Linked DNA regions of Drosophila melanogaster. The protein of the gene in region 2 interacts with the protein of the main gene of each other region in a pairwise test. Each region holds a gene or a part of one and is shown on either strand. Other genes may lie near its edges. The genes, in order: fal and dnk.

Evidence for each region.
Region 1: the proteins of dnk (region 2) and fal interact in a two-hybrid assay, tested with the Drosophila melanogaster proteins (2 studies listed by BioGRID).

Annotation. Positions count from the first base shown.
Region 1 is NT_037436.4:19,292,596-19,299,425, reverse strand, and holds fal (falten), read right to left. Parts: upstream 4,863-6,830; 5' UTR 4,328-4,862; exon of another isoform or gene 4,228-4,327; intron 3,284-4,227; exon of another isoform or gene 3,130-3,283; intron 3,076-3,129; exon of another isoform or gene 2,867-3,075; intron 2,814-2,866; exon of another isoform or gene 2,583-2,813; intron 2,381-2,582; coding exon 2,214-2,380; intron 2,150-2,213; coding exon 1,978-2,149; intron 1,908-1,977; coding exon 1,207-1,907; intron 1,149-1,206; coding exon 1,082-1,148; 3' UTR 596-1,081; downstream 1-595.
Region 2 is NT_033777.3:18,979,043-18,983,249, forward strand, and holds dnk (deoxyribonucleoside kinase), read left to right. Parts: upstream 1-1,952; 5' UTR 1,953-2,152; intron 2,153-2,214; exon of another isoform or gene 2,215-2,282; intron 2,283-2,381; exon of another isoform or gene 2,382-2,509; 5' UTR 2,510-2,529; coding exon 2,530-2,861; intron 2,862-2,937; coding exon 2,938-3,208; intron 3,209-3,265; coding exon 3,266-3,415; 3' UTR 3,416-3,707; downstream 3,708-4,207. Other genes in the region: Smu1 spliceosomal factor, read right to left, coding at 21-119, 182-1,260, 1,328-1,586, 1,643-1,709, 1,778-1,803; snRNP-U1-C (small ribonucleoprotein particle U1 subunit C), read right to left, coding at 4,061-4,207. UniProt on the Drosophila melanogaster protein: Deoxyribonucleoside kinase that has a broad specificity phosphorylating thymidine, 2'-deoxyriboadenosine, 2'-deoxyribocytidine and 2'-deoxyriboguanosine. Specificity is higher for pyrimidine nucleosides.

The DNA.
Region 1 (6,830 bases), on a different chromosome or scaffold from region 2:
TCTTTGAGGGCGTTCGAGATATTTATGCAAGTAAGTTGATAGTAATGAAGCTCAGCGTCACCTACATTGAAGTCGAATCTAAAAATATTTGTTCAATGCTTTTGTTTTCATTTTACACTTCAATGTAGTACAAAGTATTAAGTTATAAAGCCACTTGTGCTCTACGTATACAATGTTGTATCACACTTACAATTGATATCGTTCTGTGAACTTGGCAAAACTGAGCTACAACCATCTTAATGGTACACAATTCCTGACTCATGTATTTGTTTAAAATTCCCATTTTAGCCAGCGCAGAGTACTTGACGAAGATCAACAAGAACAACTTCAAGCCGCCGGTCAGCGAGCATGTGAAGGACATAGTGCGTCGGAACTTTACGAACGAGATTGAGTTCTATCAATTTTGCCGCCAGAGACTCCACAAACAATATCTGGCTGCCCACTTACCACAGCGGATTATAACAGACTCAGCACATCTGCCCGGCCTGATTGGCAATTGAACTGTACTCTTCACAAATCACGAACAAATTGTAGGAACAAATATGATAAACAAAATCGTACTCGAAACCTGTAGTCAGCTAAGTTCCCCATTATTGTTTTCTCTTGTGTATATTTCAAAGCGGTTATCAAAAATATGACAAATGCATCTTATATTTATATAGATTAGTAAGTACCTTATGTTATAAAGACCTGAGTTTGAATTGTGATGTCTTCAAGTGAACTGTTGAAATTTTTGGTTTAGTATTTTAGTTTTAAGTCGATTATGATAAACACTGTATAAACTAATAAATGAATATTTTAAGAACATATTGTCTTTCCACTGATTTCACAGTTTTAACTATAAATGGAAACGAAAAATAAAAATAAAGAACATTAAATAACTAAAAAAAACTCAACGACTATGCTGGATAACAAAATGTAAATGGCAATAAGAATGGCCGCACTACGAACGCAACCGTTGGAGTATTTGTACATCTTTTTATGAAATATAGTTTATTAAATATAAGAAAACGAAGCGAATGGAAACAATAACATACGTTTGTTTGTTGACTTAACATGAACTATTCTCTGGTGGATGTTTCTACTCTAACTTAAAGCACTTGTTGACTATCGTCGGGCTTACACATCGGGTAATTGGACGCTTCTTGCTGGAAATAAAAATAATTAACTCGTGATCTATAGTTATCGGAGTAAACATATGTATACCGCTTATTGCCAAAGAAAGCTAACTCCCTTGCGGATTTTATAAGCTCCCAAGGTCCAGGTATGACCCTGTTCACCCGTATGATGTCCGATCCGGAACAGTCGTTGCTGGGGACTTCTACGAGTCGATGAGGTTCTTTTACATATCTCGATATAGGATCCTTTTCAATGACATTTAAAACATACTCGTCGGTCAATTCCAGCCACTTTGGATCCTTTGAGCGAATACTTAGTAGTTCTGGAGCAATACGTTGTACTACACTGACAAAAATAACATCCATGGCACAAGTTAGCGGATATTGATAGGCCTTTACGTGGAGCAGCGATCGCGCCTCGAACAAGCGATATACCCGATGATAGTCAGCATAACGATACTCTATGCGTTGACCATCAGGTGATATGCGAGCCTGAAGAAATACATCATCAAAGTCCATTTCCGCAGAGCTGAGTATTTTCAGGCGCTTGTTATCACGCCGCAGATAATCCCATTTATCCACATCCAATCCGCAGCGACGATTATGCACAATATCAAAGATGTAGGTATGTCCCAGCATGGGGAACGGCAGATTCTCACTGGATCCCAATATCAAAGCCTTTATCAATTGAACACCTCGCCCGCCACCATCATCTCTCAAGGAGACTAGCTCCTGATTGAGGGCATCCTTAAAAATTTTATCCACACAGGCCATTGCGTTTTCCTCGTGCTATAATAGAAACAGGAATATCAGTTGACCACCTCAGGAATTGCTAGGGGTGCCAGTACAGATAACTTACATCAAATTCATGGTGGGTCACCAACTCCCAGGCATGTGACATTGGTCCGTGACCAATGTCGTGAAGGAGAGCGGCTATCTCCACCGCCTGACGACACCAATCCGGAAGCTTTGGCTCGTAATGCGAATTACGTTCGATGGCCCTAAGGTGATCCTGCGCGCTTTTGTAGGCTCTAAGATTAAAAAAAAAAAAACAAAGTTTACTTATAAATCAATATTACTTCTTGTGTTTCTTACCCAAGGCAATGATCGTATCGCTTGTGATCGGCCTTCTTATCGATGGCCCACGGAAGGAGACCCAACTGGTGGACATGTTTGAGGCGCTGGAAGAGTGGATGCTCGACGATCTCTTGGATATGGCTCGACAGTTCGATTACACCGTGAACCTCATCCTCAATAAGCATCTAAAGGAAATAAACGTGATAAAAGTTTTAAGCAAAGTTCAAAAGCAAAGAAACTTATTGCAAGAGCCATATTCTATATGGCTTACTCTGCCTGACCCAAATAATTAAAATTATCCCTTTACTTCTTATGTAGATTATTATTATTTGTGGGCCAAAGATGGGATATACATATAATTTAGGTACATCACAGAAGTAAGGCTACCTGCCACCAGTACCGGTGCTACAGCCACTGCTGCTACCCCCACTGCTACCTCCACTGCTACTTCCACTGCTACTTCCTTCGGAGCTTCCGAATCCTCCACCCAGGCACATGGAGACTATAAAGAGACTTAGGCCTATTATGTCTGGAACAAGCCCCAGGGCGGCCATAGCACACTCCTGCCTCTCGAGCTGGCCATCGATCATCCGGCGGATGTTAAGGATGAGCAGGACACTACGGACGAGTATGATTTCAAAATGATTTGTATACAAATAGATCGGTCTTACCAATATGGAAGGGTTAGCACTTGGGCTGCTGCATACAAAGTCATTAAAACCAGAATGCTTGCCGGCTTGCAAAAAATTAGTAAATTAACAATCAGCATGTAAATCAAGGATGCGATAACCAGCTTCTCATTTTTCGACAACATGTAAGCGGCATTATTGTTAAATACAGCAACAACAATTGCTGTTATCAATGTCACAACCGTGCCGATCTGCAATATTCAATCTTAAAACAATCCACATTGGTTCAAACACTCATTTCTCACAGTCGCTGGGCGGATCTTCAAACGATGGTTTTTTAACAGCTTCAATGGATATGGACACGGACTGTTGCTTCCCAGAGGAAGTGCGAGGATCAAGTTAGCAAGTATTTTCATTTTTGTCAGAATGTCGACGAAGTTTGTACTATTTTTGTCTGCACTTAAATTTAAATCAGAGTAATACTTTAAATCATGGGTCACTTTAATTTATGAAAATATATATAAAAAAAAAGTGTTTGGATCGTGTAACGTATAACCTGCTGATAATAACTTTATGTGGTAGTAGAGTTATTTGCGGAACTTTCTTATCTTTCTCAACAAACATAGCAAAATAAATATAACCCTATCAAAGTACCAAAAAATGGGGGATTCCACATAATAGAAAAGATCTAAAGTCCATTCTAAAATTCGTGTTCGAAATGAAACCACATAGCATTCTACAAATATTAATTTAAACAGTGTTTGTAACAGTTATATGTCATACATTTTCTTCTTGAATAATAATAATGAGAGAAACGTAAGTTGTCTTGCAACTGCACCTCTATCAACGGTCAAACTAGAACTAGAACTGGAGCTTGATAGTTTGGTACATAAGCTCTGTATTCTTGAACTCAAGAACAAAATCAAGTTTTGGCACAGCATTAAGTTTACACGTTTCTCATAAAGCTCTTGATTTTCTGATGTTTATATTTACAAAAATTTTTTAATTTTAAAATGGCAGCAATGTTATGGAGACCAATTAAAATCTTTATATTTTTAATACTTGGGGAAGAAACTAAATGGTGGGGAAAAGTCTTTAAAAGAATCCAGCTTTCGAATTACCAAAATACTTTAGATTTCCAACCCAGATAATTTACGCTCCTTTTTAAGCTAGTGATTTTTATTAAATTTCCGCAGTAATAGATTAGCGTACGGTTTTGAATAGAAGAAAGTTTATAACAACCATTTGATTACAAAGGCGACTGAAAAATACGTTATTGCTAAAACATTGATGTGCTCAACATATTGATGTGCCATGACTTAGTACTTCATTATTTATTTTACAATATGTGGCAGATTGTAGCATTACACTAGTGCAACTAATTTATAAGCCTCACGCAATGCGCAAAGTTTAGTAGGTCAAGAGCTATTAATGCGCTCTTTTTTTGCAAGTGCAATCAGCTGTCATGCTTCACTAGCAACCCATAACAAACGGTTAACTCACAGATGGGCGTTGTTGTTGTTCGTGGTGTCCATGCTGCTGCTGTTGTAGTTGTTGTTGGGAAAGCGGGAGTTTCGAGTTCTTTGGTTCGTTGGAGAGGGGAAGAGAAAGAGAGCGCCGTCGCTGAGCGAGGGAGTGAATCACTGCGCTGGCTGACATTCTAATTGGATTCCTGCTTATCGACAATCCGCGTCCGAAGCAAACCCGAAAATGCGCACAGCACGACGTCTTGAAGGCTGTCTTCCCGCCGATTTGTGCGAATATATAACATCCGGGTATTTTTTTACATTTTATAGCGACTCCGATTCGTCAAGCAGAACGTACACAACTGTAAATTTGGCGATGGTAGCGCACAGCTGATTGCAGCTATCGACCAGGGATGCGATAAAAGCTGCACAGGAATGGCGACGCTTTCAAACGGTAAAGCTATTCATTTTGACGTAGACGCGAATGTAGAAAAAATACAAAATATGTGCCAGTATCACTTCATTGTTAAATTTAATAATACACTTTTTGTAAAGTATGTAGAGAAAACATTAAAGGTAATTTAGAAATTAAGAGTTTTTAATATATTTTGGCAGAGAGGCATGCGCCACCTATGCGGAGTGCGGCGAAACTTGGTTTTAAGGTGTGTGTCTCCGCTTTTTAGATATCTGCCAATGCTGATTTATCGATTAGAGTTGAGTACTCATCCCCAACAGTCAGGATGGCAGCTCCCAACATCCTTGAAAAAGGGATGGCAGCGCTATGTATCCTTAGAATTAGGGAATTCTGGATGGAAATACTACAAGCATTTCTATACTCGTTAATCGTAGTATAAAAGGTAGTATACTAGATTCGTTGAAATCATTCTTTATTAGGATCAATAGCATAGTCGATCTGTTCATGTCGTTTTTTATGTCCGTCCGTATAAACGCACAGATTTCAGGAACTATAAATGTTGCCACGCCCCCACTATAACGCCCACACTTTTTAAAAATGTTACGATATTTTTTAATATTATTAAATTTCTATCGATTTGACAAAACCCAAAAATACCGCGCCCACACTTTTGAAAAATATTTTGATTTTTTTGTGTTTTAATGGATTTATTGCCAATTTCTATCGGTATACCAAAAACACCTTGTAGCACATACAGAACGCCCCATAGACAGTTCTATTAATTATCTTAAGGCCTTAAAAAAAGGGATAATCTATAGCATTCAAAGTTTTCAGCTTATCTATTAAATGTTCACGCAGTATTCGCTAAAGCTTATTTAATATTTAATAATTTTTTTCGTGATATATCCGACTTAGTGCACTTACAAAAAAAGCTATTTTAAAACTAAACCACATACCTAATCATGGCAAACCCCATTCTTAAATGAAATACATTTTATTTTTAAGTGATACTCTTGACAAGAAAAATAAAAAATGACTTCATGTAGTTTTTGATTAACACACCCGAATTTCAAAATTAAATTACAGTTAATTAAATGTCATGTGATAAAAACACTGATTTATACCGAATAATAGGTAGCTCCCATTCTTTCAACATCAGATTCTGCGGGATATATTTTCCGGGGATAGGCGGGGGGCTGGCACGTGGCTCACTTAGCGTGGAAATTGCTTTTGCTGAGAGCGCCGTCGCACTGAAGTGAAAGCGAAAGTTGCCGCTGACCTACAGATGAAAGTAGCACACTGATTTCTCTTCAGGACAAGAGGAAAACGCAAAGAGAGGCTAACAGATTCGCGGCAAAGAGAATGTATCTTTGTATCTTTATCTGCAGCCTAAATAAATGCAATTTCATTTTAGGTTGCATTGCAGTTTCTGCATCTCCTCGTAGAATACTCCCGACAGTCAACGCACTTAAAGAATAACAGAGAACACATACAATTCGCACTAAGATACATTTGTATCTGTGCCGCAGTTTATCTTCAGTGTGTAAGTGAAATACTCAACCCCAGATAGGTAAACGAAAAATTGAACAAGAGCAATTAATAAAACAATGAAACGAAAACAAGCATTGGACAAACAATTTTGATATGCCAATATAAACAAAAAACAGGAATTTAAAAAAAAAGCCGGCTCCACACTTGACTGAGTGAAGCGATAAAGAGAGCCAATATGGAGAGATATCACTGGGAGAAATCAAGAGCGTAGTCAAAATGCAAACAAATGCTGCACAGTGGTAATATACTCGATAAAAAATATATTTCTGTTCTAACGTTATCTTTTTATAGGCCACAATAAAGGTTAAAATGATTTCGATATTTTAAAGCGATTAAATATAATTTACCTTGGGCTTAAAGAAGCTAGAGGTATTCTTTCTGGATAAATATATATTATTATATATATTTCATTAAATACTAAATATAACCTTTTTTAAATTCATTCCATGTTGGCGGCCACCACCCAGTGCTTAAAATTTGCTCTCTCCTGAGTTTGCCTCTCTCCAATCGTTGACATTGTAGAGCCGTGCTATCTAACCACCCAGACGCCACCCACCGAGAGGGAGATTTCCCG
Region 2 (4,207 bases):
AAGTCAATTGCTTATATGGTCTAAGGCTTCCAAAGCTTCAGCAGGCCGTCCTCACTGTAGCTGGCCAGTAGATTTTGATGCGGATGATGTGTCAGGCCAATGACGTCCTTTTCATGAACCTATGGAATAAATATCACGTTTAAAGTCAGTTTGAAAACAAATAGTTTAAAGAGCAGCTTACGTTCAAAGTACGTTCAAGTTTACCGGAGGAGACGGAGAAACAGTAAAGCACCTGATCCTCTCCAGCGCAGTATATGAACTCTCCTCGCGGCGAAAGAGTGGCTGAGATAAAGGCACCGCCCTCGCGCTTACCCGACGAGAAGGATCGCACAATCTGGCCCTGCATGTTCATAATGACAACCGTATTGGATCTGTTGCAGACAATGAAGTGTTCGGGATTCTTGGGCAGAATGAGGACTGTGTTTACGGCCAACTCGTTGCCAAGGGGCTTGTACGTGGCCACGCACTCGGTCGTTTTAAGGGACCAAACCTTTACTGTGCCGTCGGAAGATGCGCTGAGCACGCTGTGTCCGTCAGGCGTAAAGGTGGCTTCGTTCACAAAGGAGGAATGCCCCTTGAACTCCTTCAGCATCTTTCCCGACTTCAGCCCGTGCAGTCTCACCGTGTAGTCGAAGGATGCGCTGAGTACCTGGCTGTTATCTCGCGAGAACTGCAGACAGGTTATTCCCTTGGTGTGGGCTTTCTCGAATTTACGCAAACACTGACCGGTGATGATGCGCCACACCTTGATTTGGCCATCCTGTGCGCCCGATGCCACCATCTCGGAATCTCGTGAGAAGTTCAACGCCAGCACCGCCTGTTCCATCATCATGAACTGGTCCTGCGCCTGGTACTTCAGATCCTTTCTCACCTTGCCGGTGGTAAAGTTCCACACCTCAAGGAAACCGTCCACACTGCCCGTTATCAGATACTGACCATCCGGCGAGAACTGAGCGCACTCAACGTGCGACTTTTGGCCAAATTTGATTTGTCGGAACAGCTGGGTGGGATACATTTCTTCTTCCTGGTCCTTCATCGCCGCCTTGCCGCGGAACAAATCAATGGTGGTGCCGGGCGGAAGGAGTCCCTGGTGCTGTTGCCATTTAAGAGCCTGTCCCAGGAGTGCCAAGAGCCTGGAGGAGGGCACCACATGCACCTCGCCACTTAGCTCTTGGGCAATGACCGTGCGCCGCTTTTCCTTGCTACTTCCCTCTGCATAGGCTTCCCTGGGATCGAAGTAAGCGCGCTGCAGCATGTTTTCTACAGACAAATATACCAATTAGGAATCACGAACTCTAGTGAAACCTTAGAATGGCTTATATTTTACCCAAATGGATGTATCGTTCGGGCTCCTGCTGCTTCAACATGGTCATGGGATCCGTCTGGCGGAGCAGAGATCTTGCTGCGCCCAGTTCTCTGAGCTCGATCAGCTCCAAGACTATTTGCTCGTATAGATTGAGCAGCTTCTTATCCGGTAATTTGAGAGACTGGGTCACTTTTAGCACGGTGTCCCAGTGCCCGTTGGAGATATCCTGCACAAAGCCATCCACGCTGTCCACCGTATTCAGGGAGACACCCGTTTCCTCCTGAAAGTTTAAGATCATTGAAAGACAAACTCTCTCCGCGGTGTGTAAGTACTAACCTGTAACGTTTGCAGGGTCTTCATAAGGTTGGACTCCTTCAGATACTGCTGGATGAGCCGAATCACACTTTGTTTGGGGGGGAAATCACGGATCTAGTAAAAACTGAGTGGTGTTGGTCGATTTACAGTACTTACTCCGCTGATTCGATTTCTATGGACATCGTAAACTAATTTCCCGGTTTAAGATTCCTTTTAAAAATAAGTTTTAATACAGGTTTATAAAAATGTACAATAATATTGATAAAAAATGCGTCGTCGTAGGGATGGCGAAAAACAGATACTATGCACAGAACAGCTGACCGTTATCGTTATCGCCGACAGCTGATTCTCAGTATAGGCAAAAAGAAAATTCATTTCACAACGTTAAATAAAATAAATAAGAGGCCATAAAAGTTGTGAGCAATAAATGTTTAATTTTATTGCTATCAGTGGTATTTGTATTTAATAAATTTGTAAAAACAGCAATGTCCAGCAAGCACATGTGGCAGAAAAACATTATATCATTAATAGGTAATTCAACCAGCATTGGCTTAAACTTTAAGTTTTTGTAAAGATGTATGTAAAAACATTACCGGCAATAGAATAGACACACACACACACACACACACAGTTACCGATCAGCCGGTTGACAAAAACAAGCATAACGATAGGTAACACCGATTAAAAAAAAAAGAAACAAATGGCGATGTTCCCGCTCTTTTTGTTTTTCGGCGGTAAACGATCTGACCAGGCGGGTTGAATCAGTCACCATATTCCCGCCGCCGTGTACAGTACTCCATCGAATCCGGAACAATCAACTTCAACCGCGATCCGTTGCTGCTGTGCTGTACCTAAAACAGTTAGTAAAACTCCCAATCTCACGTGCAGATCGCCGATTATCCGGACTGATGGCGGAGGCAGCATCCTGTGCCCGAAAGGGGACCAAGTACGCCGAGGGCACCCAGCCCTTCACCGTCCTCATCGAGGGCAACATCGGCAGCGGGAAGACCACGTATTTGAACCACTTCGAGAAGTACAAGAACGACATTTGCCTGCTGACCGAGCCCGTCGAGAAGTGGCGCAACGTCAACGGGGTAAATCTGCTGGAGCTGATGTACAAAGATCCCAAGAAGTGGGCCATGCCCTTTCAGAGTTATGTCACGCTGACCATGCTGCAGTCGCACACCGCCCCAACCAACAAGAAGCTAAAAATAATGGAGCGCTCCATTTTTAGCGCTCGGTGAGTGCATTATTCCCGTCGTCCGGTTTGACCAGAAACGCTAAACGAAACTTATCCATTACCCATCGCGCCGCAGCTATTGCTTCGTGGAGAACATGCGACGAAACGGCTCGCTGGAGCAGGGCATGTACAATACGCTGGAGGAGTGGTACAAGTTCATCGAAGAGTCCATTCACGTGCAGGCGGACCTCATCATATATCTGCGCACCTCGCCGGAGGTGGCGTACGAACGCATCCGGCAGCGGGCTCGTTCTGAGGAGAGCTGCGTGCCGCTTAAGTACCTTCAGGAGCTGCATGAGTTGCACGAGGACTGGTTGATACACCAGAGACGACCGCAGTCGTGCAAGGTAGTTTCTACACAAGCTCACATCTACCGAAGCCGCTAAATATGCATTTTTCCTCAGGTCCTAGTCCTCGATGCCGATCTGAACCTGGAAAACATTGGCACCGAGTACCAGCGCTCGGAGAGCAGCATATTCGACGCCATCTCAAGTAACCAACAGCCCTCGCCGGTTCTGGTGTCGCCCAGCAAGCGCCAGAGGGTCGCCAGATAACCATTATCCCATTAGTACCTAATTGTGTGTAGTACAGACGTTTAAAATAATATTATAAGAGGCCTAGACGAGCCGATTCGCGGGACAAAGGCAGAAACTTACACTTCGAGCCAATGATTAACACATTCGTATATTAACAATTATAATCCACATTATATTCTCTTCACAGCAACTAGTATGTAAGCTCAAAATATTGTAATAAAAACTGTGAATGTTTATGTTAAAGGCAAGGCACCTACTATTTTTGTGTTAGCATTTCAGTTCACTTGCATTTTAACTATATTGTGTTGGACAATGAAATCATTAAATGCCTTCTCTAGCATTGATTTTTGTTATCTTTTTCTGAAGCGGGGTTTTTTAAAGTCATAATAATGTGTGCACCGTAAAAGCGGCGTGATCTTATGCCTGCTGAACTCTAATGTGACTGCATGCGCTTCTCATTACTGACCTAAATATATATACTTTATTTCTCTATTGACTTCCACCCACAAAGACAACCATTTGTTGAGTCAACTTGCTTTATATAAATGTATATAATTAATTGTTTTCGCTATCGGGCTTACTTAAATGCTACAGCTTAATTAGGACATCGCAAGGAGAGCACTCCATCTGTGCTGTGAACGTTGATGCCGTTCCTGAGGGCGTTCACTTGGGTCCGTTCATGATTCCTGGACGGACGCCGGGTATAGTGCCCAGTGGAGGCGGTGGTCCCATCATGGCCATGGGATTCATAATCGGTGGCGGACGCATGCCCATCATGGGGTTCATCAGTGGAGGCATATAGGGCATTCC